Linked DNA regions of Neodiprion lecontei. The protein of the gene in region 3 purifies or fractionates together with the protein of the main gene of each other region. This does not show direct contact. Links are inferred from orthologs where the notes say so. Each region holds a gene or a part of one and is shown on either strand. Other genes may lie near its edges. The genes, in order: GATA zinc finger domain-containing protein 1, protein kinase C-binding protein 1 and lysine-specific demethylase lid.

Evidence for each region.
Region 1: the proteins of lysine-specific demethylase lid (region 3) and GATA zinc finger domain-containing protein 1 purify together in Homo sapiens (affinity purification with mass spectrometry; 6 studies listed by BioGRID and IntAct, with this or other methods). This does not show direct contact. The link is inferred for Neodiprion lecontei from reciprocal best matches to the Homo sapiens genes KDM5A and GATAD1.
Region 2: the proteins of lysine-specific demethylase lid (region 3) and protein kinase C-binding protein 1 purify together in Homo sapiens (affinity purification with mass spectrometry; 3 studies listed by BioGRID and IntAct, with this or other methods). This does not show direct contact. The link is inferred for Neodiprion lecontei from reciprocal best matches to the Homo sapiens genes KDM5A and ZMYND8.

What each region holds. Positions count from the first base shown.
Region 1 is NC_060261.1:12,099,807-12,111,583, reverse strand, and holds GATA zinc finger domain-containing protein 1, read right to left. Parts: upstream 6,746-11,777; 5' UTR 6,239-6,745; coding exon 5,924-6,238; intron 5,029-5,923; coding exon 4,826-5,028; intron 4,666-4,825; coding exon 4,456-4,665; intron 4,336-4,455; exon of another isoform or gene 3,551-4,335; coding exon 3,511-3,550; 3' UTR 3,434-3,510; coding exon of another isoform or gene 3,415-3,433; 3' UTR 3,286-3,414; downstream 1-3,285. Other genes in the region: AP-3 complex subunit sigma-2, read left to right, coding at 291-395, 611-994, 3,163-3,285; tetraspanin-7, read right to left, coding at 7,992-8,147, 8,270-8,401, 8,476-8,646, 8,754-8,942, 9,894-9,971; uncharacterized protein LOC107225730, read right to left, coding at 10,845-11,777. UniProt on the Homo sapiens protein: Component of some chromatin complex recruited to chromatin sites methylated 'Lys-4' of histone H3 (H3K4me), with a preference for trimethylated form (H3K4me3).
Region 2 is NC_060263.1:23,695,312-23,706,319, reverse strand, and holds the start of protein kinase C-binding protein 1, read right to left. Parts: upstream 6,969-11,008; 5' UTR 6,792-6,968; intron 6,331-6,791; exon of another isoform or gene 6,200-6,330; intron 4,780-6,199; 5' UTR 4,766-4,779; coding exon 4,272-4,765; intron 3,750-4,271; coding exon 3,425-3,749; intron 3,106-3,424; coding exon 2,925-3,105; intron 2,417-2,924; coding exon 362-2,416; intron 1-361. Other genes in the region: myotubularin-related protein 9, read left to right, coding at 7,586-7,747, 8,909-9,074, 9,190-9,482, 9,553-9,656, 9,831-10,135, 10,674-11,008. UniProt on the Homo sapiens protein: Chromatin reader that recognizes dual histone modifications such as histone H3.1 dimethylated at 'Lys-36' and histone H4 acetylated at 'Lys-16' (H3.1K36me2-H4K16ac) and histone H3 methylated at 'Lys-4' and histone H4 acetylated at 'Lys-14' (H3K4me1-H3K14ac).
Region 3 is NC_060264.1:35,601,899-35,612,769, forward strand, and holds the start of lysine-specific demethylase lid, read right to left. Parts: upstream 4,995-10,871; 5' UTR 4,625-4,994; coding exon 4,400-4,624; intron 2,584-4,399; coding exon 2,367-2,583; intron 2,286-2,366; coding exon 2,125-2,285; intron 1,867-2,124; coding exon 1,513-1,866; intron 1,385-1,512; coding exon 1,106-1,384; intron 1,034-1,105; coding exon 541-1,033; intron 1-540. Other genes in the region: cytochrome b-c1 complex subunit 8, read left to right, coding at 5,926-6,079, 6,173-6,267. UniProt on the Homo sapiens protein: Histone demethylase that specifically demethylates 'Lys-4' of histone H3, thereby playing a central role in histone code. Does not demethylate histone H3 'Lys-9', H3 'Lys-27', H3 'Lys-36', H3 'Lys-79' or H4 'Lys-20'.

The DNA.
Region 1 (11,777 bases), on a different chromosome or scaffold from region 3:
TTTTTGTCTGAACCACTCAAATGTATGTATTTCGGTGCTGAACCACATACGTGGTCTTACATACGAACCCCCCGTCCGTGCCAGTGGCGCGACTATTGAACTACTAACGTGTTTTCCATAGGCGACCTACCCCTACCACTGAAGGTTCCAGAACTGTTTATAGCGTGTTCAATGGTTAGCGGACGAGCGGCGTTTTAAAAATGGCGACAGTTGCCAGAATTCAGTGTAACCTTAAAACAGTGATGTCACGTTAATATAATCCATGTATATACCAACGTAATAACAATTTTATGCATTCTGTTTCTATACAAACAAGTGGCTTCAAAATGATTAAGGCAATTTTAGTGTTCAACAATCATGGCAAACCCAGACTGTCAAAATTTTATCAGTACTTTGTGAGTATTTGGTAATAAACGTTTGCATCCTCCAAAATTTGACATCTGTCAGTATCAAGTATGATTCTTTCTAATAACTGAAATTCATGTATACGATTTCATATCGTGAAATGAAGTTATCGGAAAGTATGACAGACAGCGCGAGGGAGGAACGGAAAAATATTTCACCTTTAAATTGAAAACTTTACATTTCAATATCACTTTGTTCTCTTCAGAACGAGGACATGCAACAACAAATCATCAAAGAGACGTTCCAACTCGTGTCAAAACGAGACGATAACGTCTGTAATTTTTTGGAAGGAGGCAGCCTAATCGGGGGTTCGGATTACAAACTGATATACCGACACTACGCGACTTTGTACTTTGTTTTCTGCGTCGACAGTTCCGAATCTGAATTGGGAATCCTGGATCTGATACAAGTGTTTGTTGAAACACTGGACAAATGCTTTGAGAACGTCTGTGAATTGGACCTTATTTTTCATGTGGATAAAGTTCATTACATATTGAATGAACTAGTGATGGGTGGCATGGTACTCGAAACAAACATGACTGAAATCCTTAGTCGAATCGAAGACCAAAACAAGCTAGAAAAACAAGAGGTGAGGAGTTCTGTTATTTCATTATTGCATTTTTCTCTTTTCCATTTACTAAACGTTCCTCACAATATACCAGTTTAGCAAAGATCCTTCAATTTTTCTTACATTAGATTGTAACTGTTAAAATTTTTAAGTTTTGAACATGACTAATCATCTTAAAAATGCATGGGCTCTACCATCTCAATCAAAAATTAAGAAATGAGAAGGTACCGTTTAAAAAATCTCTAGTAATTTTGTTTGTTCCAATGATAGTGAACTCGAATAAAACAACATCCCTATTATGTGATAGAAATGATTTTGCAAATTCGTATTACCCAAGTTAAGGTATCAGCAATTTGACAGGTTTTATCGTTAGTATGTTAGAAATTATAAAACTTGACTGTTTTTTTTATTCCATTCTAATGTTCGGCGACTTCTTTTTTTCACCTCAGAGATAGATCTCCAGAAATCACACAAAAAAACAAATTAAAAACGACTATCTCCAGAGTGAATTAAATAGATTAGTGTAAGCATGGAGCAACAGATGTCGGGCGATAATTGAATTTGTGCATTTTAATGGTACCATAATGTAAGATTTCTTGAATGTCTTCCAGACAAATTATTGTGGCCTGATCAGCTAGCAAAATGAGTCCAGAAATTACAATCTGGTATAAAATACCAGAGTTTAAGGGAGAACATTCTAAATACAAATCCTTCTCTCAAATTGTAGACATGCTCGCTGTTGTTATTTGAATTTGCTCAGATTTGTTTCTAATACACAGTAAGAATATTGTTTTTTCTGTTCACTAACATTGACACAAATAACATTACCAAAAATTTTTCACACAGTTTTTTTTTTCTTCCTCTCATTTTTGATTAAAACTGTACGGCCTAATTGTCCTTAACTTTAACATATCCAATCAAACCCACAGAGCTAGGGTAGTCAGCTGCTGACGGAAAATCCAGCAACACCTACGGGACTCACATTTTTATCTGTCAAAAATCGTCTCTATCATTTAAAGCAATCTCCATATTATCCATCAATAAAAAATATTTTAGACTTCAGACGATTAAAATGAAAAAAATGCAGTTTGATACTCGAGGACACCATCAAATATTGGAAAATTTTCTTATCACAAACTGAAACCTAAAGCTTGTTTTCATGTGTTCTTCATTGCATGGTTGACAAATCTAAATACATATTCTGGAATTCGATAAAGGTGTACCTTCTTTGGATGCATAAAATTTCTCAGTCCTGTGTAAAAAATTTGAGCAAAACAGAAATAGTTCAATTATATTATTTGTTGTATTTATTTTGTTTTTAGTGTTCTTTTCTTTTCAACACTGCCTACACGCCAACAATTGCTCCTGAACATGTTCTTGTAGTTATGGCTTTTTACACGAGTGAACTGACTCAAACTCAATTTTAGGGGGCTTACAAATCAGTGCGATCTTACTCACCTCGTCCGATTGTCCTTCTGGGACCTCCTCCCTAAAAGTCAAATAGTAATAAGATTTGTTTGTTTTGATTTTAATATCATTCCGGCTAAATATGTGAGGTGAACATTCCTATTTCGTCTGTGATCTATTTTTTTTTTCTTTCATACTTCAATGATATGCATCGGTTTTTTACATAATTATACATTTACATATAGTTGAATTTTCATGTAATATTGTGTATGATATTTTGCATGAATTTTGTAACGTATGATTTATTTCAAAAGAACTAGTGCCTTACAATTAGTAAAAATGTATCTAGCAATAACGTGAATAAAATGTAAACCATATATTTGCATCTATCTCCCTAATTAATCCTCTACTACTCTTTTTATGTACCTATCAAAATTTTCGATTGTCAATCACTTCTTTAGTCTTCTTCTTACACTATTATCAATATTATTAGTGAATTTGTATAATATGCATAATTAAAACAATTTACCTGAACAAAATATTTCATACATTACAAACTTGTCATTGCTGGTTGAACACTTCCATGTTAATGCAATGAGATCAATTCAGAACAATATTTTCCATGCTCAAATCAATCTAAACTGTAAGAGTTTGATATTCGATTATACAAAATATCATCGTTATACATTTGGACAAAAATATGAGCATATTCAAAGGTAAATGTCCCAGCGATTACGCTGATAAATCTACCTGATTAATTGATGAATTATTTTTCCTGGCAGGCGGGAATAACGGCAGCTCCAGCTCGGGCTGTATCAGCAGTGAAAAATATGAATATACCGCAGCAGTTAAAAGACATGAAACTACCCGACCTGCCACAGGCAATAAAGGACCTCAAGTTCTGACCGGCGGTTACATCGCTTTTGCCTAGTTGACTAGATAGTCCTTCAGCTGAGGTTGTTTCCTCTGTCCAGTTAACGGCGTCTCTTTCCACTGGCCAAACAGATGAAAATGCCCGGATGCTCCCAGCGGTGTCAAACCAGGTTTCTTGCTCTGCGTTCCATCGTTATCAAGGATAAAAATGAGACGTTTCTTTCTTTCGGTTCTAACAAGGATACTAGGCCTCTGAATCACGGATTCTGCTCAAGCTTGTCAGTATGTTTCCTTGGCCTAAAATATAGAGCCTTGTAACATATAGTGTATTATAACAGGCCTTGCTTTAATCCGGTTACAATTGATTATATGAGCAATTTGCTCAGTGAAATGCTGTAATAAACGAAACCTGTTGATGAAGTTGTAATGATAGGATCTCATTGATTCAAGTTTCAACGAATATATGAACTCAGAGCAATATGAAGTGACTGCGAATTTTCTAATATCTGATATATTGTAAATTACGTGAAAGAAGGCCAAGTAGATGAAACTAAACCTTTGGAGTTCTATATTTTGGGTATAAGGAACACCCCTAGAAGTTTTAGTGGAATCCGTGATTCAAAGAGCTAATAATTTTCTTTAACATGTCAATATCCATCGCGTTTGCCAATGAGAGAATTATTCACCTAAATTTTCATTCCACGTCGGCAATATAATGTTCAGTGAATATTTTTCACTCACCATTATTAGTATTTTATAGTGCCTAGCTATCTGCTAGTATTAGGGGCAATATTGTACAGCAAATCAATGCATAAATAAATTATGTACGCATTATCGTAAACGATATTTGATATAAATGAGCGTCCTCGTTTATGAGTCACCGATAATTGATATCAACGGTTGAATGAAATATGAAAATCAGTTTTGGCCAATTTATCACTTTCGCTAGTAAAGTTATGAAATCTTTATATAATAATAAAATATAATATATCAAACAGATAAGTGTAAAGCTGTATAATTAATGATGACGATGATGACGATAAAAGTTATATCAAAGTTTCAAATAAATATTTTTTATTGAGCATTTATTAATGTGAAGGTTTATTTTTTACTATGAGCCAACTTTCTTCATTCGTTTGAAATCCGTCTCCCTTAATAGGAAAATTAAATAAATTTAATAAAAAATATACATGAAATATTACTTTTTACGGACACTGATTTCGTGTTTCAAAGATGTCCATACGAAACCAGCCCCGGTCTCCGTCAACGGTGGCGGATACGGAGAATTTTTCAATTTGTAGTAATCGGATGGTGCATGCATCACGAATTCCATGCACTCCAGTTTTCTTGGCAAGTCCTCCTCAGGTCCGATTAGGTACGTCTCGGGATAAAATCCATGTTCTGGCGGAGGGCTTTACCAGTTTTTGTACAAGAAAAATGTTCACTCTTTACATCTCACTTGTCGACAACTTTGTAACATATACAATAAATTCGAATTCTTTCCTATCAACTGGTATTCTTGTTACATATAAAAATGTATTGTGGCATAAATACTTGAAGATAATATTTTACCTAGCAGTTGTTGGGATCAGCCAAGTCACTGCTGCGCTTTTCTCACAATATTGATCCGTCAGCAGCCCTCGTATTTGAGCGTAGTAAATACCGCCATCAATGTCTTGCATGGACACTATATCTCCAACTTGAATGTAAGAACCTTTATAAAAGACGTAGTCACTGGTGACTGGCGTCGCAACAGCTGCAGGAGCTTTGATTGGCTACAGCAAGCAGAAATCAGTCATTGTAACTATTGACCATTGTTAAAATTGATCTGCCGATTCATCTAAATATGACCGTCAACGGTTTTTGTGTGTCAAGGTGTTTAAAGTAGCACCGATTGAATTTTTTTCGTGCCTCAAAAACCGCACTTGAGCGAAAATTTTTCTCAGAAATCTTTCAAAATTTATATAAATTTATTCAGAATATTAATTATTATGACAGGTCCTGAAAAATCTGTCGCAAATTTTAGTAGTGTTAAGAAATTTCGAAATAGAAAAACTTCAACTTGTATGTAGAATATTTGAGATTTATGGAAAAACCTGAGAGGGAGATAACAAGGCAGGTAATGGGAGATATTACGGGAACATTTTGGTGAATTTTTAGACATTTTTGAGGATTTCTAGGTATATTTGCAAACAAGGAATTTGGAAATTTTTGGGATCAGCTTGGAGATCTTGCAAGGCAATGTTGCAAGGAAACGTATGGGGAGTTGTAGGAAATGGAGATGTGTTGTGCACAATTTCAACAGTGATTTAACCCCTCAGAAAAACCATATTTTTAGAAAATTTCTGTGAAGAATTATTATGATTCTAGTTTTATTGAAAATATTCTTTCGCATATATGTAGACTTTTTCAACTGTATTTCAAAAAATTTAACTTCAAAAGTTTCCAAGTTTCCTAAAGGTTTACAACTCCTTTAAGAAACTCATACCAGTTTTCCTAAACCTGATACTGTCAGAAACATATATAGAAACGCGAAAAATAAAATTTTTCAGATTTTTGATGCAAAATGGAGTTCTCGAAAAATGTGACTTTTCTGCTCACAAGCAATAGAAACTTTACGGGAAACGTTTATTTCGATTCCCTTTTCGAGTCATAATATTTAAAACTTACTGTCTTTTTAAAAATATGTCGGCGTCCTTTACCCTTAGGCAAAACTTTCAGCTGTGTAACGGGTTTGCTTTTGAGGTACCTTGTCACTCTCGTGCTCTTCCGAGGCTGCAGTTTAGTGTCATTCGACTCATTTTTCACAGTGGCATTGACATTGTTCGATGAATTATTGCTAGCTTTGTCATCATCGTCAATTGCATTCCCACAACGGTCAGATTCGGAACAATTATTACAGATATTACCGGCATCCGTACTGTGCCATAAAATACTGTCTGTACTTTCGCATTTTGTGCACTTCGGCTTCACTCCTAGCGGCATTTTTTTCTTTATTTACATCTACGCTGGATAGATTTACACTTACATTTCTCGCCTTGCGGTGCTTTCCTTACAATTAGTGTTTTCGTAAACACAATAGCGGTACACGCACTGATCCTACACAGATTCACTACGCAGGCTGGGCTTCATCGCCACGCGATAGATTTGAGCCAAGTGCACTTTAAATATGATACAAAGTATATCATTGGATATGTTCCTTTTTTACTGCCAGTACGCAGCGCTGCAAACACGGTCCGATATACGGCCACAGCACACTGCCAAACTCTTATGACGTCACAAACCTGCCCGCTTGAGGACGTAATACGTGCTGTGCAGACTGGCTGCTGTGTTTTGTGGAATTGTTACAGTCACGATAAGGACCATAGACTTAAAGAGATAGACTGCGCGGTCTGTGCACCGAGCTGAAGCGGTATTTAGAAAGAGAGAGCAATACCTAAAGCTGGACCTCTCACTTTAATCGGTGACGAGAAAACAAGTGGATGTCGCGGTAGGATAATATTTCTACTTCGACGGTGCAGAGCATGCGCAGTAACTAATAAAAAGAGACTGGTGGTCTCATTGATTGTAATTTGAGCTATCTCTGTCTTCGGAACCCCCACGACTGCAGTGCGCGTTCCAGTAGTTCACCGATACTAACACCGGAATTATAGAACTGATCATCCTCCTATCCTCTAGTCTTTCTGACTTACGATTAGGTTTAGACATATATACAGAGAATTACGAAATTCTGGCCATCACGACATATTTTATGCATTGAAGATTGGAATTTTGGCTGTGTGCGCAGTTAAGGGGGTAATATAGTCTGGCTTTACCGACTGAATAAAATGTTGGGCACTTTTACTATGTGCAATGCCGAACAAAACTATCTGGAAACTCATTCGTTTCATGCGAAAATTGAGTCCAGGAAATGTATTCCTGCAATAAGCGATAATTCAATTATAAGAATACATTTCGTAGCGTTATTGTTACGTGAAAGAAAACTTTTTTTGATATTTGTAATAGCCATTACATGTACAATTGCGCTGGCTATGGTATTTCTACATCAGTGTTGCAGAGGCTTTGATAATGGTCAAAATAAGTGACATTTATCGCGGTCAGTATGGACTGATTATAACATCCTCTTAAGACAATACGGCGACGTGAGCGGTAATCAGCTGATCGATTAGATTAATCACTTAAATCTTACAGCACAGAAAACTTCGTACAAGCTTTTCGGTTTTCATTTCATGACATTGAGTTAATATAGAATAAAATATTCGATAAAAAGCCAGTTTTGTAATTAAATTCGACTTAATAAGCGTAGTTTGTTCACTGCCATGACCCGAATGCTTCTTCTGAAATCAAGGATTCCAGTTCTGCCTGCTACCAGATTTCAGGCACCACCTCCCTCTCAATGACGCTCAATGTGTAGAAATCTCGAACAATCAATATTAGTTGGGATTCATTGTAGTTGTATGTGTATATGTTCGTTGTATAGAAACAAATTTCATAAATGATTAATTGACATATAATTATAATATATAAGTTTCTCTCCCATCCGCATCCTGATACTTCAACACAGTTTCAAAACTGAAATGAATATCATATAGTGATACATATCATAATAAATAAGTGCGTATGTACGCAAGCTCACAGCAATAAATGAATAAGTTATGATAACATAATTACTTTGATTTTTGTTTCTGTTAGTTTAATTGCGTTCTCTCGTGATTAACCGTCACGCAGCGTCATTCAATTACGCAACTTGCTCGTATTTGGCTTTGTTGATATTACTAGCCAGACAACAAGCAAGGAAGACTCCAATGAGAGGAAAGAATGCAACACCTACAGCACTACCAGCCACCAACCCAATGTTGCTGTTTATGAAGTCGACAACCCGGTTGTAGCAGCCCTGGAAACAACGTTAATCCAAAACTCTCGACGCCATAAACTAAAACTGTTCCTATGACTTCAATTCTGAGAATGAGAATATGTAATACAGATCGGAAACTTCGCAATGTTTATGCTATTTACCTGAGTATACACGTTATCCAGATTCGAAGAGTCACACGGGTTTTCAAGCTGCTTGCAGCAAGATTTAGGAATCTCTTCCGGTAAGTTTATGGAGTGCCAGTCAGTGTAGCCGCGGTTTCCACAGCAATGCAACTGTAAAAATGTGTACAATTGACTGATCGAAGAAGATAATGCTGCACGATAAAAGAGGAACTAGGATATCATACGGTAGACTGCATGGTATCGATATCATGGTGTTTGTTGGGGTCGTCTACATAGAGAACCAAGCTTTCATTGAGCCCTTGATCGAAGCCCTCGGTCAGAGCGTTGCGATATGCATAAACGGAGGCACCTGATCCCAGCTCTAGGAGTACCACAACCGCCAAGAATGCTCCGTACTGGGGATAAAAGGATAGAAAACCGATAAGTCCACCTTCTCATCCAAGAGATACTGATTATCATGTAATATGTTGATCTTAGTTGTATGCGTGTATTATATACTTACAAGGTATAAGAGTGCCGGATGTCCACGTGCCGTACAACAACATGCCAAGATAGAGGCTACGACTACGAGGATGCCGAGGCAGGCCAGAGCCAAAGGCGCTGCACCGCTACCTTCAATGCTCATATCTACGTACTCTCGGAGCTGAATACGCATCCAGATCCCAACACACAGCATCAGTACTCCGGTGCACTGCATTAGCATACCGTCTCAGATTAGAATTTTTCAACAGCAAATCATCACTACATCGTTCTCTCGCTAGCGTATGTATTAATGCACAATGTACATACATACATACTCATAAGTAGCAAAGCACCATCCTAATTCGAAATTCCTTCAGTGTAAGTAATGGTAACTTCAGAAGAGTGCATTACGTTTTGGTACCAGTCGTTTCTGCGCTGGACCAAAACTCATATCGAACGTTCTCGTTAAACGTTGTGATAATAAGGATAACCGATGTCTTCCCAACCGTTCCGGGGATAACCGAAATTATTTTGATAGCTCCGAGGGTATTTAAACTAACTGTCCTAGTAATATATGAACTTATTTTTACCACATACGAATTTTCGAAATCATTTTAACCGTAACAGGGATGTTTGAACTTTTCCTAACCGCCCTAATGAAGTTCAGTCTTGATCTAATCATTCCATGAAAGCTCGAACTTATCAGGATCCTTAATCTGGGTGTGGTTAGGACAATAGAGGCGTCATAAGAGATAATCAGCTGATTGTTTCAGGCAAATTATGCAAATATCGAGGCACAGAATACATTGGCCAAGCTTTTGAACTTTAATTTTGTAATGCCAGGTCAATGTAGAGTTTAACTTTCTCTAATCGTAACTCCTATTTCATTTTGTGTTATTTAAATCTACAATAATATAACAAACAAAATCTGAAAATATTGCAACATTGCCAATCCAAAACTTGTACGATATTAAGAAGCGTGAACTTTTCTGCTGAGTTCTCAAAAAGAATGCACAAACACATGTGAATCAATGCTATACATGGCGATCAGATTAAGCTAAACGCTGATTGTGTTGGAAATGCAACAGTTGGGCGGATTCCGTCAATATTTCTTCAATTTTGACGGCAGCATCGAGGCGTATGAATATGTGTATATTTAAGACAAGTTAAATATACCCACCCCAAATGCAAAATTGAAGAGTATCAACAGCGTCTTCATGCAGGCCATTGCCGCAACGGTTTGCAGATGTTTACCCATTTTCACTTATTCCAAATTTCCGCGCTGTTTCAACGGGACGATGGTAACAGGCTCGACGCACTGCTGGTCTTTCGGCCTCGATCGATCCCGGCAGCAGCTCTCGGTACCGTCAGCCATGTATGGGTGCGTTGGGGAAAAGTTTTTAGGGCGCATGCGTTCCCCGTCAATCAAATGCGAAACGTACTGCGCTCTACCTTAAAGGGTCAGCTGCTAATTTTGAGTTGCAAAAAAATTCTTTATGTCGTCAAAGTTACAAAAAATCTATGAAGAAGGAAAGTATCTGGCCTTCGGATCATGGATTTTACTAAAATTTATGTAGAGGTACTACGTTATCCCAAAGTATAATGTAGGCAAATTTTTCATCTGTTGACATTACGCCGGTTTTAATTTGTCAATCCATAGTCGATATTTCGACAAATATACTACCTGGGTTATTAAAGTTGAGTATAATCTACAAAGTTTACTGAAATTCAATCTTGCGCCAAATACAGTATGGTGGTAATCACTTTGAACATAGGTTTTTTAATCTGAAAAATCATTGGCCACAGAAATTTTCCCTTATTTCATGAAATATTATGAGAAAAACACCAATTCTTGAGGCACGGAAGATATTCATATTAACTGCCTTTTACAGCCAAATATGCACATCATTCAAATTACATTTCATATACAAACTGAAGTATGCATGGAAATACAAATCATGAATGAATGGTGACGAAAAGATAAATTTTTAGTTCTATTGAAGAAAATAACGAATACTTCATTGTTTACAGATATTATGACCATATGATCGAACAGGTATGGGTTATGCATTTATTATACGAACTGATCACATCTACATATAAGACAAGATATTAATAATCTACAATATGACTATTTTTTGATCGAATGACGATGCGGCGAACAGACGGCCTCACCTTTTTTTTTATAATTAAGCAGAACTCCAGGCCAAACAACATTGTTGTCTCCAACGATCGTCGGCTGAGATACTTTTCGGGGAGATTGTCTGGTTCTCCGAATACTGACCAACCGCTGCTTAAGTGACAACGGTTGATCCGTTTTCCGCGTTATTGAATTACCGGTAAATTGTACGCTATTATTTGCCTGATTATTATTATTAAGATTATCCTCACTGCTACAGTAATTATCATTCTGCAGATTTCCCTCTAACTCATCGTCCAAATACCGTCGACTTTCGTCGGCTTCCAAGTTCATCTGCGTCAAATCAGTGATAGGCCAAACTTGGGTACCCGCAGCTTTCGACGGCTGATCTTCATCATGAAGTGGACTTTTCCCGCTAAGTTCGTCGTCGCATCGGTGACATTCGATTTCCCCCGCGATTTTCGGACTCTCGGCCCGTTTAAGACTGGAATTCCGGTTTCGATTTCTGCCACGAATGTCGCCGATCGTTTTAAAGTAAATGCTGTGGTCGTATCTATACGCCTCCAGGCACTGGCTGTCCACGCGATTGTTCGACTGGTAATTCAGGCTGCCACAACAGTTTATACGCACTTCTTCCGGCCGGGATTTTCGTCTCCATGAACGTTCCAGTCTGTAAAAACGAGGATTCCAAGATTCGCAGTCTCCCACCACGAGCTTATTCGCCGAAATGCTCCAGTTGGTGTCGCCTGGCTCTTCTTTCATGGTCAGATGCCCTCGAGAATACCTCTGCGATTTGAGGCGGTTGTAGCCTCGCGCTAAAGCGGCCCATTCCTCAATCCTTTGGAACACATACTCAGTCTCCTCGTTCCACCAATCCGATAACCCTCGATGTGTCGTCGGCGTCGTAGCCTCTTCACGAACAAT
Region 2 (11,008 bases), on a different chromosome or scaffold from region 3:
TTGGGAATTAACACTCTGGCAACCAATTATTTAATTTGATTGGAGCTAGTCATGTTCCAAATTATTTAGATCGAGGTTCATTTACTTTTTTTTTTTTCAATTAATTAGAATGACTTATCTAGTAGGAAGTATTATTTTTAACAATAATCTCAACCACACCACTTGGTGACCTGTTTTATAGTGGCAATGATATCTCAAAACGACTTGACTGATTTATTTTGATATTAGAGAAAGTATTGGATAATTGGTTGTTGAAAATTCACCAACTTCTTCAGCCGTCTACTTGTATACACCCCCTTAAATATGTCTGTGTCAAGAAATGAAGAATGTTTAAATTTGAGAATTTTCAATGGTTGCATACCTGTGTTATGCTTCAATTCGGCTAGGTGCTGTTGATGCTGCCACCTCATGCGTTCAATCTGCAGTTTGAGATAGTGCACCGTAGCACGTTGATTCATTCCAGAGTTATCTGAGTTATTGGAATTTATTTGAGCTGCTTCAGTCAGTGCTTCCTCCATTAACTGTGCCATTCGCTTGGCTAATTCCTGACCACCTCGGTGAAGTTGTGCACTGAGTGGTCCTGCCTCTGGAGATAGCAGCGAGTGATCATGTTCACTTTCTGTCCTGTGTCCCGGTATATAAACCATTGCATCAGGTGGACTTGCCGGAGCTTTTGGCGGGGATGTTGGCGAGATTTGCGGAAACATTGGAGGTTTATTAAGAAAGGATTTACGTGCCTTAGACTCCTTTTTTGGTGTATGATTTTGCGGTTGATCCTTTGGCTCTTCCTTAACCATTGTTGTTTCTTCAGTCATGATTAAACAGTCCTTTGTTGGATTCATTTTTGTTGTGGATTCCAGTAAGGTGATTCTTGGTAAAAAAATCGAACCCATTGAGGATGATGCAATAGGATCTGTATTTAATGCTGCGGTTATTGTGCTTGATGGACTAATAGTAGAGGCAGTAATCAAGTTTGCATTATGAACAGATTTAGTAACACTGTTCATAGGGTTGTTAGGGACGGACACAGAATTAGCTATAGTAACGGCCGTACTTATACAAATATCACTCACAATGGCAGTGGATTGTGCACTAGTATTCGCAGGTGCTAGAAGCCTATTTAATGGTTGATCCTGGCGAGAAATAATATTTTCTGTGCATTCTATCAATTTTTTTTGCTCATTCGAGGCTGTAGCTTTTGCTCGCTCCGCATTGACTTGATTCACCATTCTAGTTTTTGGCTTATAGACTCTAACCGGATTTTTATTCGTTTTCGGACTTTTTATTTTGATTTTTGAGTCTTGTACAGATCTCGTTTCGTTGCATAGATTATTATGAACTTTTGTATCATTTGCTTCAGTATCATCCTCCCCTTTATGTGATTTAACGCTACCAAACTTCGAAGATTTTCTTATTTCCAATGAAACTTCGTTTTCAGAACTGCTATGCCCGTCGCTACTGTTATTTGCATCCCATCTTCGTCGATATCTTTGCTCTAATTGACTGTCGTCGTCTGTTTTCACACTATCATCCAAGTTGTCAGTGTCGTTTGAAGTATTACTTCGATTACAATTCATTCTGATTTTCTTCTGGTGAAAATTTCCATTATCGGATGAATTGTGGATCACTTTTTGATTTTCGTTAGATTTAGCAAGTGGCGGCAACTTGGATTTATTGAGCTTGTTGGACAGTGACACCTTAGGTATTCTGGATGCCTCGATATATTTTTCACAATCGTTGTCCGAATCACCCTGAGGTGGTGTTGAATTGTTAGCGAAATCAGAAGCATTATTTGTCGTTGATTCCTCAGAACATGATTTCTTTGTGAGATGAAAGCCTCGCTTTCTCAAAGGTGGTTTTCTTCGTGGTGAAGTGTTGGGAGATACTACAGCAGGAGTGCTGGGCTGAAGAGGATCATAGTTAGGTAGCATTAGTTTTATCTGCAATGGATCTCTCGGATTGTACTGTATTTTCGGCGGCGCAAATTTAAACTGTCCAAATGCCAACTCCAGCTTTCGACAATGGCGCGTTATTTCACGAACACATTCGTCCATATCTGCTTTTCGTTTACGCGGAAGCGGTGCAGGTGGATCTTCGGAATATAAAAATAGATCACGAATTGGTACCCAAGCCCGATCATGAGCTCCAAAAAATCGGACGTCCACATGCCCTTGGCCATTTATGCGAGACATGGCCTTGGCTGGCCAAAATGGGAATCCCTTTAGTTTTGCCCAGACAAGTGGATGCGGCCTTCGGCACGGTTCAATGAACCAAGAGGGTTGAGGTCTGGGAAGGTTTCGCGCATGTCCATAACAATCGGAACAGGCCTCAATCTCCGACACCTCTTGCCTGGCTGCTTTTATAATCTGCCTAGCAGCATTTGTTAGTTTAGAGGTATCTGTGTAAACGCCTCCACCTGCAAATGTAGCGACACTATATTCTTCGAGAATATTATATTTTGATATCCTGGCTACCAGATAATACTTTTATCTACACAACATTTATATAATCAGTCTGATTGCACATGCAGCGAAGTTTTCGAATTTCGAAAAAAAAAATTCTATATTTAATTTAGACCGTACTCTAATATATTTCATATAAAGTCATTGATTTCTGTAGGAATGTGAATAAAAATGATTGCCTACAATGTAAAAATAGCAACATTGCGTTGCACAGTATTAATCAAATTTCTAAACAGTACGGGTATGTAACTTAAAAGTAAAAGTATATAAGCTATTTGAAAATACATCGTGAATTTGATATGGCGAAGTATCAAAACCAATCAAACAAACCGAAGATTAGAATACTGAATGCAGATTTTAAAGAATAGTATTTGTCGCTGAACAAAAAAGTATCGAGAATATATAGAATTGCACAGGCTTAAATATTAATCATGAAAAATAAGCAATGAACAGAATACGCACAAGTATTGAACACAATGCAGTTGTGCTGTATCCACTTAGCATCAGCCATAAATGCCTCTGTACTACCATAAAGTTTTGCACGGACATTAGATTCTAATAGACTCAAGTCCATTGGCTTAACAACATAGTCCAAATAGTTCGGAACTTCGTTGAGATCTACCGCCTTCCAAAATGGCTCCGACTGTGGACATAATGATTAATTCCTTCCTGATAATTATCTTATCTCTGTACCACAATAGGACTCTAATTTATCTGTATGAATAAAAATTCTTAAAAACACACTTGACATCTAAACTATCCTAGAAGGCTCAGTAGCAGATTAGGTTCTTTAATTTTGGCAGTAAAATTAATTTTACTGCAGGCAATAAGCAATCGTAATGAATTAATATATTCAATAATACACAAGTTTATCGCTCATTGTTAACTTGATACTTAAGGAGTAAGTAAGCTTAGGAATGAAAATATGAATGTAACAAGTAATGTGATGAAAATGTACACACCCCTGGATAATCACGCATTCTTCCAACCACATGTCTCAGTAGTGTACAGAGCTGTTCAACACTCAACTGAGCCATCGCCGGTGAGCGTGTTTCTGCATTTTCTGCTTTTAAAATAGTAGCACACTCGCCACAAATCCAATTCTGCGGTGTTGGTTGTGGACCTCCACCCATACATCGACGATGCCAGGAACGTGGACATGCGGTACAATGGCTGTCAACAGACTCTTTGTGACATCGCCAGCAGAACTTATCTTCGTCACTCCTAGATCGCTTGCGTTTGTTAATCCTTTCGTTTTTTTCTACCGAAGAATCTCTGCCTTGTAGACTTTAAAAAAAATATTGCTTCATTCAACTATAATAAATCAAGTTCATTTTTTCGGCTGTCTTTATACATGTTAAATATGATATCTCGATCAATGTTGAAAATTGCACTCATTTTCAAAAAACGAAGTTGCTATTAGGCCCTTTCTATTCAAGCATGCATCCATAATACAAGTAACATATAAATTCTAGGAATACTGTTAGGAATATTGTAAAATTAAAAGAATAGAAAATAGGTTTACAGTACTTATGAATATAAATTGAGAAACATGTTAATCTGTGAAGAACTTCAATATTTTGTAGTATGAAGAATGTTCGGAAATACCAAGTGAGAAATAAACGGATTTTGAAACTCTGTGGTTTGGTTTAGAAAATAAGAATATACTAAGTGAGCTTACATTGTTATAAAAAGTTTTACATGGAAAACATAGTTTGCAGTTGATGCAAGATCTACAATTTCGATGTTGAGCAACAAATTAATAATACATCAAATTATTGAAAATAAGAAAACTAACTACTTACACACCAGGTGTCTACCAACCTCGACATTCTCCGTTTTCTCTTGCCCTCCTTAACTGCACTTTCCCCTTTAATCTCTGCTCCATTGATCTTGACGTCTTTACCAACAGACAAAGACGATCTTGTTTCCGAAGCTTGTGCTTCCTCGCTTGTACTTTTAGAGACATCAGGCTTCTTGCCATCAAGTCTATTTTCAACACTGTTATTTTCTTGCGATTCTGCTTCAATTCTACTGTGTTTTTTAGCAGATTGTTTTCGGCTTTTGACATCAGACTCGTTGCTAACGTTATCCTTTGATCTATTCACATTTGTCTTTGATTCTATATTGTCACTTTGCTCCAGAGCATTAGTTAGATTGTTTATTTTGTTCGATTTCTTGCTAGATTCATTATCGTTTTTGTCCTTCTCTGTAACTGCTGTCTCTGAATTGTTCTTCTGATCCTCGCAGTCCTCCATTGCGTTCTTTCTATCCTCCGAGGACTCCATGTTGCTCAGAATCATATATCAGATGGTATCTGTGTGAAATAGATTGTCATTAAAGCTTCGGCTACTTGAAGTTTAATTTTCTGTCTATTCACTGGTAATTCGAATACATGAACTAATACACCATAGTCGAAAAAAAATTTTGTATCACACTGCGCGATTTTGAAAAAAATCTGATATTTGTAGTTCTATTATATGAAGTATCATTTAATTCTATATAACAATCAAATACAGGTTTTTTCAATATACAATAAAACTTTCACCATATGTTATGTGTTATATGTAAGAATTTTATTTTCAATTTCTATAAATTTATTTATGTACAGTGAAAATTTGTATTTTCATGATAAACATTTGAAATCTTGACATACCGACAAAATAAATAAAAGTATGAACTGAAAGCCAGCTAATGTAATTTATTGAAATCGATTCTTTTGAACATTATTATTTATTAATGCACTCCATTATTGCAGCTCTGGCTGTACCAAACTTTCATTTTCAACATTTTTCTAATTTCTAGATGAATAGAACTTTGTCCACATTAGAAATGAAGTAAGAAACTGGATTAAAAATAAAACAATTTAGAGCTGACGATCAATTTTTAAATCCTGCTTCTGTGTCCAAGTATAATATAAAGTGATTTTTGATCAATAACATGAATTGGATATAGGTCAGAGCAATACGCGGAAAAAAGGACTTTTTAGTAGTTATATCATGTTCAAGGATGTAAATATTCTGCATTTTAAATTCAAGGTTTGTAATCAAGCTTCATAACTTTTTCCTTGTTGCCAGGTTTTCTAGGTTCATGGCAATTTTGCCAGAATTGCTTTAGCTAAGATAAAATTATGTTTTAGGGTTTTTGTCAATATGATTTATGACTTCAGAACCGATTAAGGACATGTTTTGTTTGAAACAGATCATGCACGCCGATCCTATTTAAAATGATCCAAGAAACAATCATTCCACAAAAAATTATTTCAACACAAAATTGTATATATGATTATCCTGTCGGTAATTATTCTGTTCACATATAAAATGCAATATTTAGAATAAAAAAAAAAAAATTCATAGATTGCATTAATGTGACTAGTTTGAAATTATCACCTCCCTTGTTCAGCCAAGGACTATATATAGTTTGAAGACACTGACATCAAACATTCTTACATATGCCATTGTTATTACGTACACTTTGAAATGGAAATGATGTTTATCTATGCATTTAAAGTTCCAACCAATCAAGCTTAGTCGAAAACTCAAGTTGTTACTAATACTGAAAACAGGTCGGGGCGTTATTTAGCCTTAAGTTTATTGTGTAATGTTGTGCCCTTGGATGGTTTACAAACTTTTACCAGGTTTACTACACAAAGTCTTATCATAGGATCTCAGTATCAGCAACAAGTTGAATTTACAATAAAGTTTAATGGATCGAAACTTCAGGTGCATATTTCTTACTTCGTTTTTGTTCAAAGTTTAATAGTTTCTGGTGAAATCCTAGCCCCAAAATGTTTCTAGTCTGTATACCATTTACTATTTTCTTGATGATTGAAAGGAAACCAGAAGCCAGGATCTTCCTTCATACTATCCCGAATCGCAAGAGAAACATAAAGCCTTAAATCAATTCTCGGAAGTGAAAATAACTTTGTAAGAGTAAGGTGAATAAGCAATATGACTTATAGTATGCCTCCTGGGTAAGCGACGTGTCTACAACAATGAGGAATACAAGATTATGGCTGAATGCGAAAGATAAGCAGAAAGTAGATGAGTGCCAATGCCAAAAGTGCTAATCGACCTGGTAACAGCGTGTTGTACTAAATGTAAAAAGAAATAATTGTAGAAATGCATTTAAGTTGCAGCGGTACAAACTTGGGTACCTGAGCATGGTTCAATATTGGGAAAGTAATATCAGGATGACAATGAAGTAAAAAGTGGGTATACCTACATCATAGCAGCAGGCACAGGAATGGATGCTGTGGTTGTGTGAAATGGCAGTGAATAGAAGAGGATAGACTGTTAAAATTTCATAAAAATATAAACAGGATCTTACCAATCTATTCAGAAGGAAGTACGCATTATCAAACGACGAAAGCTGGTGATACGACGCATCGCTTTGCAAGACTAATATTTCGTTGAATTAACATGATACAAACATAAGTGGAGACATTAATCGCTATGGAAAGTTAGGAAATATCTCTCGCTGCGCTGCACGAGCAAACCACTACTAGCCGGGCTTTCCTTCTCTTCTCGTTACGCCAGCGCTATCTGTTGAGGTATTGGCAAACCTTCGGACATCACGTGGTGATCGTGTCTACAATTCAGTCGTAACAAAAGTGCACATATACAATTAGAGAACTGTCAAACTATGCGTGGGTCCGGTAATTCCGAAGGCTCGGAATGCTCGTTGAGGCATGACACCTTGTAGTTTTACATCACCTTTTTCGCTCTCCATTTCGCCATCCCGGAATATCACCAGTTTATGTACGAATTTTCGCCAATCTTTTCCACACCTCTTGTTAAAGGGTTAGCTGGTTATCACTGTCAACCAGCTGTAGTGTAGGCGTATAGTGATCTCGCACATACAATATTCGGGTTAACAGCAGCTGTCAAAGAGACGTAATACTTTACGAAAACTATTGCCGAATGAGTTTTCTGACGATTCCGTTACACCGATGTTTTAATCGACTCATAAATTCAACGATAAACTACAAATATATAATAGATAAACGATCAGTCTGATAAGGTATTTATTTAAGGTTACGTTTATCTGTGAAATGTCACTTATTGCAGAAGAATAATAATATTTCGCCTTGTTATTTCCAGTGAGTTAAATCAGCACGAATAATGGAATTGAGTGACTTTATATTAGTTACAAAACTTGATAACGTCGTTCTCACTGATAGAAGCGATGGAACTGATAAAAACTCTAGCTTAGATAGAACGCTCTGCATCACTGGACATCATCTTATACTATCATCAAGGCAGGCTGTTTCTCAGGAGCTTTTGGTACTCAAACTGATCAATTCGTAGTTTTATTCCAACTGCCATATTATTTATTATAATATGTTCCGCAATCCTGTACGTCCCAGAGTTTTAGATATAGTTTTATATTCATAACTCTTGGAAAATAATTTGAGAATTTTACTCATGTTCTGACAATATCTGCAATTTTTTTGAAATATTTTCTAGCCAGTTGACGTTTTATTTTCACATTTTTGTAGATATTCGATTTCTTCCAGCTATTTCATTAAGCACAAGATTTTCCTTCGCTATCAAGCAGTGTTTTAGTTTGAATTGCGTCTTGCAAAAACATAGATAATTACTGAAATAAGAGATACTAACCCAAAATGGATCCTTTGCTAAGCAATACTCTGTGTATTAATAAAGCAAAATTTGACAGTTTAAAACAAAACTATAAATAAGTAATATCATATTAGTAATACAAGGAGAATATATCAATTTGTAATACCTCACTCTGTAAGTGTATAAAAACCAGTTTATCTCCAGTATTGCAATGTCAAATAAACTTAATTTTGATTTAAGATTCCCTTTAAGCACTACAAAAAAAGTGATAAAATCAGGCTTACAGAAATTTGATTTATGAGTATAGACCATCCTTATATTTGAATATCCCAAAAAAATTATGTGCTATCTTGTAACATGTGCAACTTTTCATTTTACATTTAGTCAATTACGTTTCAATAATTACAATAACAGATTTTGGAATACTGTTCGTGATTTAGAAAGATACATCTCAGTAATAAATTAACACAAGCATAAGCAAAAACCTATATTTTCATTCAAAAGTTCTTGAGAGTAAAATATATATTTACATAAATAAGAGTGAAGTATGTAAGTGACACATATATCACCTTATTTATCATTTGACAGTGAACTTTATAAGTTGACCTGTAAATTGCAGGCCAGAATGTAAATACATTTTTAAAGATCATGTGAGAATATGGAACACATTATGTAGTCTTTGCATGTATTGTGAATCAGTTTGAAAATAAGGGCTATGGCTAGCTACCGTTCTATTGATAGAAATGAGGAAGTGTCAAAGGTGTCTGTCAGCAAGTATAGTTGTGTAATGTAAGATTGCTAAATACTGGGAGGATGCTGCCTACTGAAATTTTACTCGTAATTTACAATTGAATCCTTTACCAGCTGCTTCACAGAAACATAGATGTCATAGAGAAAAAGTCAAACAACCAAAACCCTGGAGGCAGTATTATTTTAAAATGCAAGGATTTCCATATCTATCAACTCGATATCAATAGTACAGAGGATTTAAATAATGTGACGTTATCTCTGGAAAAGCTGGCATGTTTGGGTAAATAATCATGGACATAATATTCGTGTACCTGCTTCTGAATACAAATTGACAGTTGCTTTATTTAACTCGTGATTGCTGCCTAACAATAACTAATGCACATTTTATATTTCAGATCAACCTCTCCAGTATCCTTTTTTCTACAGCCCTCAACCTGTGAATAATTCCACGGTGCAAGTGGAAGATGGATGGACTGCATTTGCACCAGTTTCAGAATGGTCTAGACTATTAGCAACTCATGCCGATGAGTGGCGGATTTGCTACCTCAATCGTGATTATAAAGTCTGTAATTCGTACCCATCAGCCGTAATAGTACCACGGCATATAGAAGACAAAATTATTGTATTAGCAGCAAAGTTTAGAGACGGTGGACGATTTCCTGTACTCTGCTACAGACACGATGGGGGGGTATGAGATTTTTGCAATAAATGATTAAGCCCGACTCGATTCAGTAAGTAGAATTTTAATTTTTTTCTAGAGTATTCTCATGAGAAGTAGTCAGCCATTGTCTGGAGCTACAGGAAAAAGATGCAAGGAGGATGAACGACTTTTGAATGCTGTTTTAGGTCCAGGAAGACGAGGGTATGTAAAAATATTTGGCTTCTCAATATAATAATACCAGTATACTTGTATATAGCCGAAAAAAATAATCTAATTTCTAAGTATAAATTAGATTGCATTTTTCAGTGAGTTGAGATATACTTTTACATAGCATTAATTTTACTGGTTGTTGATTGATTTGTGTCTTCTCTACAGGTACATAGTGGATACGAGATCTGCCAGTCAAGCGCAGGCGGCCAAAAACCGAGGAGGAGGAACTGAAATGGACGCAGCTTATCCACAATGGCGTAAGGTGCACAAGGCTGTGCCACGATCTACTGACCTGGCCGAAAGTTTCTGTAAACTAATCGAAGCCTGCAGTGACACAAAATGCTCCACGTCCCAGTGGCTTTCTCGACTAGAGGGTAGTGGCTGGCTATCTGCAATTCAAGCAGCATTGAATGCAGCCTGCGTAGCTGCCCAATGTCTTCACCAAGAAGCAGCTGCTGTCTTAGTACATGGTATGTAGTTATGAAATGAAAAATTTCTATGCACTAATGAACTATTGGAACTGTACTACTATAAGTACAACTAACAACAGATTTTGCATTCACAAGCAGGTTTTACTATGGTCTTCATTAATTTCGTTTGTTCGAGATATTTTCATACAGATGTAATATGATTACCAACTCTTTTCACAGTCATCTTTGATGAAATATAATCGATTATATTGAATAATAATTGTATAAATTCTGCACATTAACAATCGTGTAGAATTATTATCGTGTTTCAGCGAAAGTTTTAGATAACGCAAATTTTTTTTGTGGAAATTGACAATAATTATTTTTGACTGTCCAGTTTTTGGGCATTACTATCGTTTTAGATAAGCATTGTAAGGAATTATTCAGGAATTTGCAATAAATCCGTCAATATGTGAAAAAAATATCGATAATCAATAATTTTGAGATCATAAGCACAGAAGTTTTAAAACTATTGTAGACTTGTATGCAAACACTACTATTATACCTTCACCTAAGTAACAATATGCTTTTTTGGTAGGTGGTGCTGGCAGAGATTGTACTCTTGCTGTGACGAGTTTGACCCAAGCCATTCTAAATCCTGACTGTCGAACCGTGAGAGGTCTGCAGGCTCTTGTTGAACGAGAGTGGTTACAAGCTGGCCATGCTTTTTTCAGTCGGACACGTCATGGGCCTTATCACCCGCCCAATTCTCAAAGTCCAGCACATGCTCCCACCTTTTTGCTATTTCTAGATTGTCTCTATCAGCTACATCGCCAATTTCAATTCAGCTTCGAATATACAACAGATTTACTCATCGAACTTTATAAACATGCATATTGCTCAAGCTATGGAACGTTCTTGGGTGATTCAGAA
Region 3 (10,871 bases):
TGGCGTGAAGAGGGAAGTTGTTAGGAAATCGGATACCTATGTACATGGGGGTTGGATTATTTGTATGCTGGCATCTCGGCGAGCAACCAGGTCCAGGACAGTACAGCCATCGACGATTTTCTGAAGTAAATTAAAGCAAAGACCAATATGAAGTTGAAAGAACCAAAGGAACTTAATCGAACAGTAAAAATGTTACGTTGAGATGTCGAACAATAAGTGAATATGGCAGCCTGACGAATATATTGGACAAAAACTCTGGAGCCTGTGTCATGGGAGCATTCAAAGATAGCACTGGTGCCCTGAGTGAAACTGAAGCGAATTTTTCAATACTTTAAGAATTGTCACAAGTAGATGTGATATGGACAAATTGAATTTTTTCCCGAATGCAGTGAATTGTTGAACTTGCCATCTATAAGTGTAAAACTGGTAGGAAAGAGAGTAAATTGACAACGAAATGTCGAATCAGCAGGATCAGTTAAAACGTGATAATTTTCTTATACCATATTCAATGGGCGTTTATAATTGTCCTGTAATATTCACCTTCATTCATCAGTATGTTAGGGTTCATAATAGTGACGAGTTGGTGGAGAAGGTCCGGTTGGCTGTGGAATAATTCCGGGGCAGCAGATTTCATGGAATGTTCAAATCTTTCCGCCTGAGATCCAGGAACTCCGTACCAAGTCTTGGGCTCTCCCCAGTGTAGATAGTTTATGGAATAACTCCAATGATCTTCGTTGTGCCAACAAAAGGTGGCAAAGCACATGCCAACGTACATCCAGGGAACTTTCATCCCGCTAATGTCTGCATTGATGTGTCCCAGCACGCTTCCATGTAGAACGGGTAAATTATTCAAATTCCACGAAGATTCGGCGTACTCCTGATCGCACGTGAATAAATTGACACTGGTCTTCGTCGGGAAACCGGAGCCATGATCCATTGTGTGCAAATCAGCCCCATACTCGACGGTCACATCTTCATCTATCGAAGAAACAATCCGCCAGAATTCCTTTTCGACCAAAGGAGTCGGTACCATCTGAAAAAAATTACCGTTTAAAGACGTAACTCGAGAGAGTAATTTGAAATTGAATGAAAATATGATGCTTACGTGTACAGGCATGTTGAAGTAATCGCTTTTGAACTGATCGGCCATTTCGCCAAATTGTTGCAGCGTATATTCACGCTGAGCTTGTTCAAATCCAAAGGCTTCCATAGGCTTTGAGACTTCTTCGGCGACGCATTTTGGACATCGCCAATCACCCTTTGGTATTTCGGTTAATGGTGGCATAAGGCAGAAGGTGTGATAGCTGTCGTCGCATCCGTCGCACAACAGCATGCTCTCCTCTGTATCGCCTCTACCACAGTTGTGGCAAATGTATTTGGCAAGCTGTGAAAAAAAAAAAGGACAAAGGAATAAGAATGTGCAAAAATATAGGAGATCTTTAGTAAGCTGTAATACACCGATAAACAAACAATTATTTATTTCTCAACACGTGAAAAATTGAATTCACTTACCGGGTCAAAATCATAGTGTAATTTGACGCCTCTGGTTTTGCTAGGCTTTTTTACATCTTTGGTATTAAAACCGGCCATTTTCGGACCAGGTCCGTAAAACTGCAATTTTTTAAGCTCTTTGCTGTTATCTTTATCCTTTTCATTGTCAGAGTCGCACTCATCTTTGCAATCTTCTTGCTTAATAGGTGATGTGCTGTCTGTGACTAATTCTGGTTTTTCATCCGTACCAGCAAATCGCTTGGAACGCCGTGAAAATTTTTCATTTGGTGGTTTTATTTGCTGTCTCGATATTATTCCATGAGGCTTATAATCCCTGTCCTTTTTTTCATTCACGTCACCCTCTGGCTCAATTTTCTAAAAAAAAATCACAATACTAGGGTAAGCTTTGGACCATTTAATGTTTGTTTTTGATTAATAGAGTCCAATTCAGGAACTTCACATAGTTGAAAATAAACAAAAATTGTACCATCAGCTCTGCATAAAATGTCTGGAGGCCAACGCGTTTTTTTTTTTCTGTTTTCTTTTGGAGACAGTACAAATGATTTATTACTGATTAAATGAATAAACACTACATTGATAAGTCAGTTGCAAATTTAAGCTGAAGATACTTACAATGTCAGTCAAGGTTTTCCCTTGCTTGAAAACATCAAAGGGATACAAAATTCTTTCATAGTGGTTTTTTAAAATACTTCCAACGCTTCGACCGGATGGATATCCTATCCTGTTTGCAATCTTTGCCCACCTTCTTTCTTTAGTAACTGTTTCAATGCCACCTATGAAACAATATTACAAAGTATTAGTATTATCGTTAAATCACAGGTAACTGGGAAAGGACGATAAAAACAATCCTTTACCTTCCTCGGTGACAATTCTGTGTAAGGAGTACAAGTCTAAAGCTTTACGTTCAACCAGTGGAATTTTCAACGATGATCCTTGAAGCTCCCAAAATTTGGCTATTTGATCTAAAAAATTCAGCTTTATTCTGGTCTTTGCTTCAAGTTCGTTTAACCTCTGAATTCTTGGTACAAATTTGAATTTGTCAACGTCAACGGCAAAAGGTGGTTGCCAATTCTGTGGAAAAAAAAAAATATTGAATTTAATGAGCAAACTGGAAACTTGGTTCTACTTATTTACTTATTTTCTTTAGTTTGTAAATTGGAATTAAACATTTTACAGTTTTGGAAAAATTTATTGTACATAGTGGTTCGACTGTTGACAATTACATAATAAATGGTGAAAATTCTATTATAGTTTTTCCCGTTTATTTTTAAACTATGCAATCGCATGTTTCGTCATACAAATTATACGCCGAATCTATAACGGTAAGCGTCCTCCCCCCTTCCGCCCCTCTGACGCTCGCCCTTTGCCCTTAGCAATGGCAATAAAACACGGATGCATTTGGATTACTGTTTTGTTCTAATTTCAAATCTCGACAGTTGAAGCCGACCTTAGTTTTCGGTTCGGTTCGCAAACTCCTACTTTACTAAATTATTGGATATAGCAGACGTGAGGTAGGATTTGTCTCTTGGATTGATAAAATGGTAATGCAAGCGTAACGTATAATTTCTTGTTTAGAGAAGAAATAAGACACAATTAACAGGGGCATTCGCAATATAAACAACGACAGCTCTTCGTTTGCCGTTGATTACTTTTCACCTTTCTTTTCTTTACAGTACGCGCACGGATATGCAATGTCCGTTATACCTACATAAAACAAAATGGACATCATCTTTCATTTTCTTTCGACGGATTCGACAATCGTCAGACGCTTGTAAATTGAGTAACGGAATTACGTATTGACCGAATGCTCTCACGGCGATTTATTTTCCGAGGTTTGCAACTCATTTGACATTTAATGCAAGAAAAATAATGGCTGTATCAGGTATAACAACTTCGATCGATTTTATCGTTACAGGTAATAATGTATGCGTATAAACATCGTCGTTGGATTGACGTTTCTTGTTTTTATTTGTTGTTTCCGATTTTCTCGGTTTACACCATTTCAAATTTTTCTCGATGATAAGCGTATCGCGGCTGCGATAAAAATTTATTCATCTAGTAATTTGCTAATCGTAAAATGACGAACGACCATTATGTGCATCGATATAGCTATAGTTTGTGGATGTAACACGCTGGTGAGATTAACATCGGTGGTAGTTTCGCCCGAGTAGAAAGAAAGAGGTAGCATAGGTGTTCGAAAAACAAAAAGAGAAGAAAAAAAAAAGAAAGAAAGAAAGAAAATCGGTCAGTAAAGAAAAACGACACCAAATACAACAATAATTAATTATTCTTCCGGAAGAATATTTCTAATGACAGTTTACAACTGTAAAAGTGCGACATTAACGTTTGTGAGAGGACGTGAGATAATGACGAAACGTTATGTCAGTCACAGGAACAGTCGAGAAGACGCAGCATTTAATATACCTAGATGTCATTTGTTTACGCGATTTCCCAAAATTAACGTCCAATGTTAGCATCGTCAGAGCAATGAGAAAGCAAATCGACAAACAGAATCCCGTTTCTGCCAATGTTATTTATTTATTTACTCCGCATTTGTTCCTTTCATCGCGTATTCAATCGTACAACTCTAGCCCATGTGGATACGGGTGATTGTGGGAGATTTTTTTCATCCCGAACAATAAGGTATCCATCCAAAGAGGGTGTGAGCGCGTGTGTGTACATAGTATTTTTTTTTTGTTACACATTTTTATCGCATCTACATCACTTTTCGCTTTCCTTTCTCAAAGCCCCCAAACACATACGGTTCGTCGACGCTGGATTTTAACATCTCTACGGCATAGGGAAAGGGGGGGGACGATAAAGGGCGAAAGGCCTCCTAGATGAGGGGTGAGGCGGGGAGGGCTGTCGCATCGTTGTAATTACTCACTGGCGGTGGTTTTATTTTGCAAATTCCCGATTTTTCGGCAATCGGACGAATCTTGGAGATGTAGCCAAGGGGGTCGAGGAATTCCTCCGCTGTTGGCTCAAAGACTGGGGCCTCTGGTGGTATAGCGAACTCAAAATCCTTGTCACCTTTTTCACTCATATCTTTAGCGTGATAAGTACCAAACCGAGCCTCGCACCCGATATTTACATCCACCTTAGAGACCATCACGTAATTTCGTCACACAACGAATGCACACCACCAACGAGGACATATAGGCAAAGTTTTGGTATGTTAAATTCCCCCGTGGATTTCACTCGGGAATCACCAATACACCGTGGCACGTGACAATAGTGTGGGGATCGATTAGGAAACTCGGTACTACTCAGGTATTAATTGGAAAAACTTGTTCGTCAATGTTTTTAGCGCAGCCATGGCTACGGATGTCGTATATATGACCGTTACCGATGTGACAATCCGTCCGTCCGCACACAACTCCTCGGGTTCTATGTAGGAACTATAGAACGATTCTAATAGGCAGAGCTGCTCGGTACTCACACCAGTCCGTCTGGCACGTACGTATGCATTCAGTACTTGTTCCACTATCACGCTGCTCGAGAACCAACCTCTGCGCGCATGCGACAACCGAATGCGTTTTTCTCCCGTGTTTCTTCCATCGGCGCTTCCTCAATCCTCACCGCCAACATGGCTGATACCTTCACGCCATTGACTGAGCTTTCGGCCACACCGGAGAAACTGCCGTCGAGGTTATACCTGCGTTTTATTGCGTTCATCTCTCAAGACTCTACGGAGCATACGAGGCGTCGTCAATTCTACGGATGAAAACAGATTGATCGTTTGAATCGTCGATGTTGGTTAGGCAGCAAACTGGCTCAGCGATCCTTCATTGGTCAGTTGCGAAAGATCCGTGAAAAAAATAGTATCCCGAGTGAGTCAACGTTGGCAGAACTGCTGGCCACTCGCTCCTCAGTTTCGTTTCTTCGTGTTGGTGCACTTTGTCTACCCGTCTGAAGTCGGTATCTTCTTTCCATTAGACTCGACGTGTGCTCTCTGCGCAAGGGGTAGGTGTCTTTACCAAATAATTACATAATTTATTCGAAAAACGATAGAGTTATCTAACTTAATACTCGATGAGTTTCTCCGCGGTATTCCGTTTGCCGTTTTTACCGTATTTCTTCTTACGTAATTCGGACGTGACTGTTAGGTTGGTCACAGAGAGGGCTACGTACTGAATTACGTTATTTGCCAGTCAGTCGATGCTTTACGTCTTCTGTTGCAATTTCTCTGTTGTCATTAGAATATTCATAGCCATCAGACCGATAAGAATGTCCAGCGGAATGATTCATTTTGCAAAAAAGTGTGTTCGGCACCTTCTTTCTACACCAATTCCACACACCTTTTCACCCCCCCCCCCCCTCGCTCGTGTGGTAACTGTCGTATACACACCACTCGCCACACAAAATAACAGCTTAACGTAAATCAGATATTTTCCACAGACAGTTGGCAGGATGGGAAAGGTATTTGGAAACCTGTACAAGCTGCGAGGAATTATTTATTACCGACTTAGTCCGTACGAGCAGCGGGCATTCGCAGGTGCGATATCTCATGGTGTACCGAATGTATTTCGTAGGATAAAGGAGAACTTGTTTACAATGGGCCCACGTAAGTATCTCAACAAAGTCGTACGAGACTGTGTGATTAGATTCAAACCAGTCGTGTCTGTAATGTCTAAGATGAAAAATTTTCTTGTTAAAGCCTTTTTAATAGCCTACTTGGTCTACGACTGGGCAGAAAAGGAACACGCTCGCCTTCAAAGGAAGAACCCCAAGGATTATGAAAATGACGTATAAATAATTAGTATTTGCATAGTTTATTTATAGAATATGGTTGGAAAGTCAAACAACACACATGCATATATCTATCTGTACAGAGTATCCGTGAATATATTGCGTGTATCGAATGTCTAAAGTTATACTACACGAATAAAGTTTCCTGTCAATTTAACGAGAAAGTGTTCGTTAAGAGTACCGTTTGAAATTTAATTTTCAGATAATACGTACTCTGCTTAACGAGTTGAAAGATTTATAATTTACCAACGAAATCCTGCTATCGAACGTTCAAACGGCGTCGGAAAAATTGACAACCTGAATTTCTTCGTAACCATCCTCCTCATTTTGTTTTCAATTCTTAAAGCAGCTGTTGTGGGCCATTCATTGCCAAAATTTGTTCAGAAATCACTTCTGCATAATTCGAAAAGCCAATTCTGGAAATTAGAAATACAGTCAAGCTGTAGTTGACCGAATTCAATCGATTTCGTAAAAACTTGTAATATGGCCACAGCAAAATTGAAATATGGTAAAAAAAAAAATATCAGGACTACGTTTTTTCGGCTTTGACTTTCAAATTGTCTGAAAAACATCCTTCGGCTTTAGAGGACGTTTTTAAAATAGCGAATTTTCTCCCATCGACACTGGATTATCGTTAGCTAATAACGATTCATGGATGCGAAAATTGTAATGCAACAGCCTTGACTGTATCCTCCGAAAGAATCAGACTGAAGTTAAGCGATTGAAAAATTACTCTCAAGGAGTTGGCTTTTCAAAATTGAAGTATATTTTGTTTACAATGGTTTACCAAATCTCGGACTTTCCTATAAATGCGAAGTACCGATTTTTCGTCAACATGCACCGTTACAGTAACGTTACTACTTTATCTTGACTTCATCCTATTCCGAAAGAATCTCGGGTACAGTTTTCAAAGTTGGAGCTTCCAAATTCTTTCACCGACTCCATTTAAATACCTTCCGCGAAGAAAACAGTTTGGACTTTAACTGTAGTATGTTCTTGCCGTAATAAAAGAAGTTTATGCCTTCCATGTTCCGAGAAATACGAGCAGGTAAAATTTGGCTTGAATTCAATGGCCAGAGCAAGCAAATACCCACGACTGTCGTTTATTGTTTTGCCGCCTTTGTGAGCGCTACAGGGCAAGCCGAGAATCCGCTATCGGTGGCCCAGGTAAACCTAAGACCTCTTCTAACCGATCGTACCGAGCTCCGTCGCAGGTCTCGACGAATGGAAAGCTCGGTACCGTTCCACCTCGACCAATGAGGTGGTTCGTTTCATTTGCTACCTGTCCGTGGGTCGAAGGGGGTGAAGAAGGGGGACACCCGCCCAAGTTTACCTGGGGCTTCGTCAGGTATAGAGGTACGGCACAGGTATTTCCAGTCGACAATGAGTGGGACCGAGGTCCGCCCAAAACTCCGTTGCTCTGTGCCGTATTGTATATAGGTGAGTAGAGTGTGACGTCGGGACTGACACTTGTTGACGGAGTTGATAGTTTTCAAACTTTTATCGTTCTGGTACCTGCAGCTATACCTGTAAGTTGATAAGTTTACAGTGAAAATAAACGGCGGCGATTGGTCTTGTGCCACGCGATTACGATTATAACCACCGTCATATTGGATATTATAAGTTTCGTCGAGCCAAACCCGCGTTCTACCAAAACTCGGCTGTCACAAGGTATTTATCGATGATATTCCACTACACCGATACACCCACATACACGCACGCACATACGCCCATACACGCAGCAGCAGAGATATGGACACTCTTTGGCTAGTCTTAACATCCGACTACCGTAATTTTGTATCAGTATATACATGGGGTACGAATAACACAACTTGAACGGAGCTCCAAGCGTCGATTCCACTTCACCCATTATGCGGCTTATTTCGCAAGCTGTCTGTTTTTCCTGGTTATTGTCCTCTTGAAAATCCAATTAGGGTTTCAGTTCTTGGTGTGTGTTAAGATTGGTGTGTATTAAGATACGGCCGAATTGCCGGTTGAAGCCGAGCTCAATCCCGTACCCAGCTTATGCTGTAGCCCGAGGTAAATATCGCGTTGGGTTGTGACGATAAGGGGAAAGAGGATCGAAAGGAAAAACAAAAATCATACCGGCGTAACTAACAAGAAAACCAAGGTGATTAGAAATCAGTTCCAGGAACTAGCCGCACACGGTGTACTGAATTATTTAAGCGTCTGTACCTACATTGGACGTAATATTTCATCTCGATCCTTACAATTTTGGTCGATCCCGTTCGGTTGTGATGATTAATTAAAACTTGACGAACAGCTCAGTCAAATTTGTCAAAATGCTGATAAGTTCGTGCTAATTTCTTGCCTATCAAGAATTGAAAAGTATCGCGACTTATCTTTCCCGATTAGGGTAATATGCGGTTAGACAAACACACGCATTATTCCGGTAATTTTTGCACGCGCCATGCGAGCTTGATATGCACACCTTGGAAATTTTTTCATCAATTCCGATACAGGGTGTGTCAGCCTAAGGCACGAATAGCTTTGTGAAGCACGTCGTCGTCGCGCAACCTCCCATAAACGTAGGGTAATGTTAATGTACGGAAGAACAACGCGGTACCTATACCTACGCCTCGAAGACATTTCCGATGCGTTTCGTAACGGTCTTACTTTGCCACATGTATGCACACCGACACCGCGCTGCAGGATTCGAGCACCGATTTTCGCCATGCCGTACACGGTGTGTAGATCTATTTTACTTCGCGGTATCGAAAATCGCTTGAAAACACCTGCGCCTAACTTCCAGCGTCTGCACGATCGTCGGACGCTACACACCATATTCCACATTCACAACCAGCCATTAGATTTTCGACCTTGGCCTTGACGAGGTCCGACGACCGATATCTAACTCGGCATCCGAATGTCGAACTTTCTTATCTACCGTATCCCATCAATTTCAAATTGTCAATCAATTTCGCACCGCACTTTGCGGTACAACGATGAAGATCCATAACGTTAGTAGGTATATTTCAAAACGAGCATAGGCATATTATATTATTATACACGAGTTATGAATGCGTACGTGTATTCCGGGAGCAGATGAAAGTTTCTCGACTATACAATATATGTATATATATATGTATATATGCATAGGTATACGTATGCACGTAAGTCGAACCGTGCCATGCGTACACGCGTCGTACCTTCTGTATTTGTGTCAACTGTATACATATACGTATGTGTACACACGTGTTTCGTGTGTGGGATAAGCGCGTCCATTACGGATTGGGAATTTCAAATGTGGTTAAAGTCGCCTTGGAATCTCTGGAATGCGATTCAGCCAAGAACTGATCCCTTCTGGCTGTCTATACATATACATCCTACGTGATACGTACACGATACATACACTTGCGTACATAGGTATACGCATACACACGCCTGTATCGGCGCGTGCATTAATACTCTTTGATGCCGCATGAGATGAGCGGGGGGAGGGGGGGGGGGGCACCTTTCGTTACTTGCCCACATCCAGCCTCGCAAGCTTACATCTCGAATTCGATAGTGTCAACATAAAGGCGCGTGCACACGTGACGTTTCGTTGCCAGTTTTTCACCCGTTGACTTTTGTTCTTTTCTTCTTTCTTCCTCATTCAGGGTCGATGACGATGATGATGTCATTTTCCGTAGGTACGAGACGCACGTTCGCACGTCGGTCGTGTCACTCCGAACAATCAACCGCGAGGAGAATTTGATTCCTCTTGAGGCGCGATACGATATCTAATTCTTGCTCTTCGTACGCCTTTTTTGACTTGCCTATCTTTGACAATATCAGAGACACGATTTTCACCAAAATGGCAGCCTCTAGGTATTGAGGATATTGAGCGGCGAAAATCTCACACATAGTATTAACAATGATGCCGGGATGTTGTATTTCTTTTTCTTTATGCATGGAGTCATACTTCTTGCGATGCTCATGAGAATCTGAAAATATATTTCTAGAGAATTGGGTGGGAATTTTGTAATTATAAGTTTCTATACCAGAACGAGTTTAGATCAGACGCAGTTTTGACGGTATATGAAGGAGAAATTCACCGCCGAGTTGTTGTTACCAATCTAATCTATTTCTCTAGACTGGTTGGTTTGCTCGCGCAGGCTGCAGACTTTCCGTCGTTCGATTTGCAATTGAGAAAAAAGAAAACAGCGTACATACAATCATTCGCCAATTTCTTTCATGAAAAAGCATACTTAGATACCGCCTGCGAAGAAGTAAATATAACGTAATCGCCGTTTGTTGACACGCTTCATGCGAGACTGAAAGTATTTCACATAATAGTTCAAGATGAGCTGCGTATAATCTGTTTGGCAAAACTTTTTACCGTCGGTACTTAATGTGTTGATTCAATATTGAAGAATTTTTTTTCTTTTCGCATACTACGCGTGTATACTAATTGAATTGCCCCGGTTCCGACCATCGCAACTTACTTTTACACGATTATCGAGAGATGCTCGGAATCCGGGAACCCAACTATACATTAATGCGTATGTGCATGTAGATGAGCGAACATGTGTCAGTGGTTTATTACTCGTATTATAATGAGTGCGTGGTCCATTTTGTCGAACGTGAAACCAAAATGTGCCGTA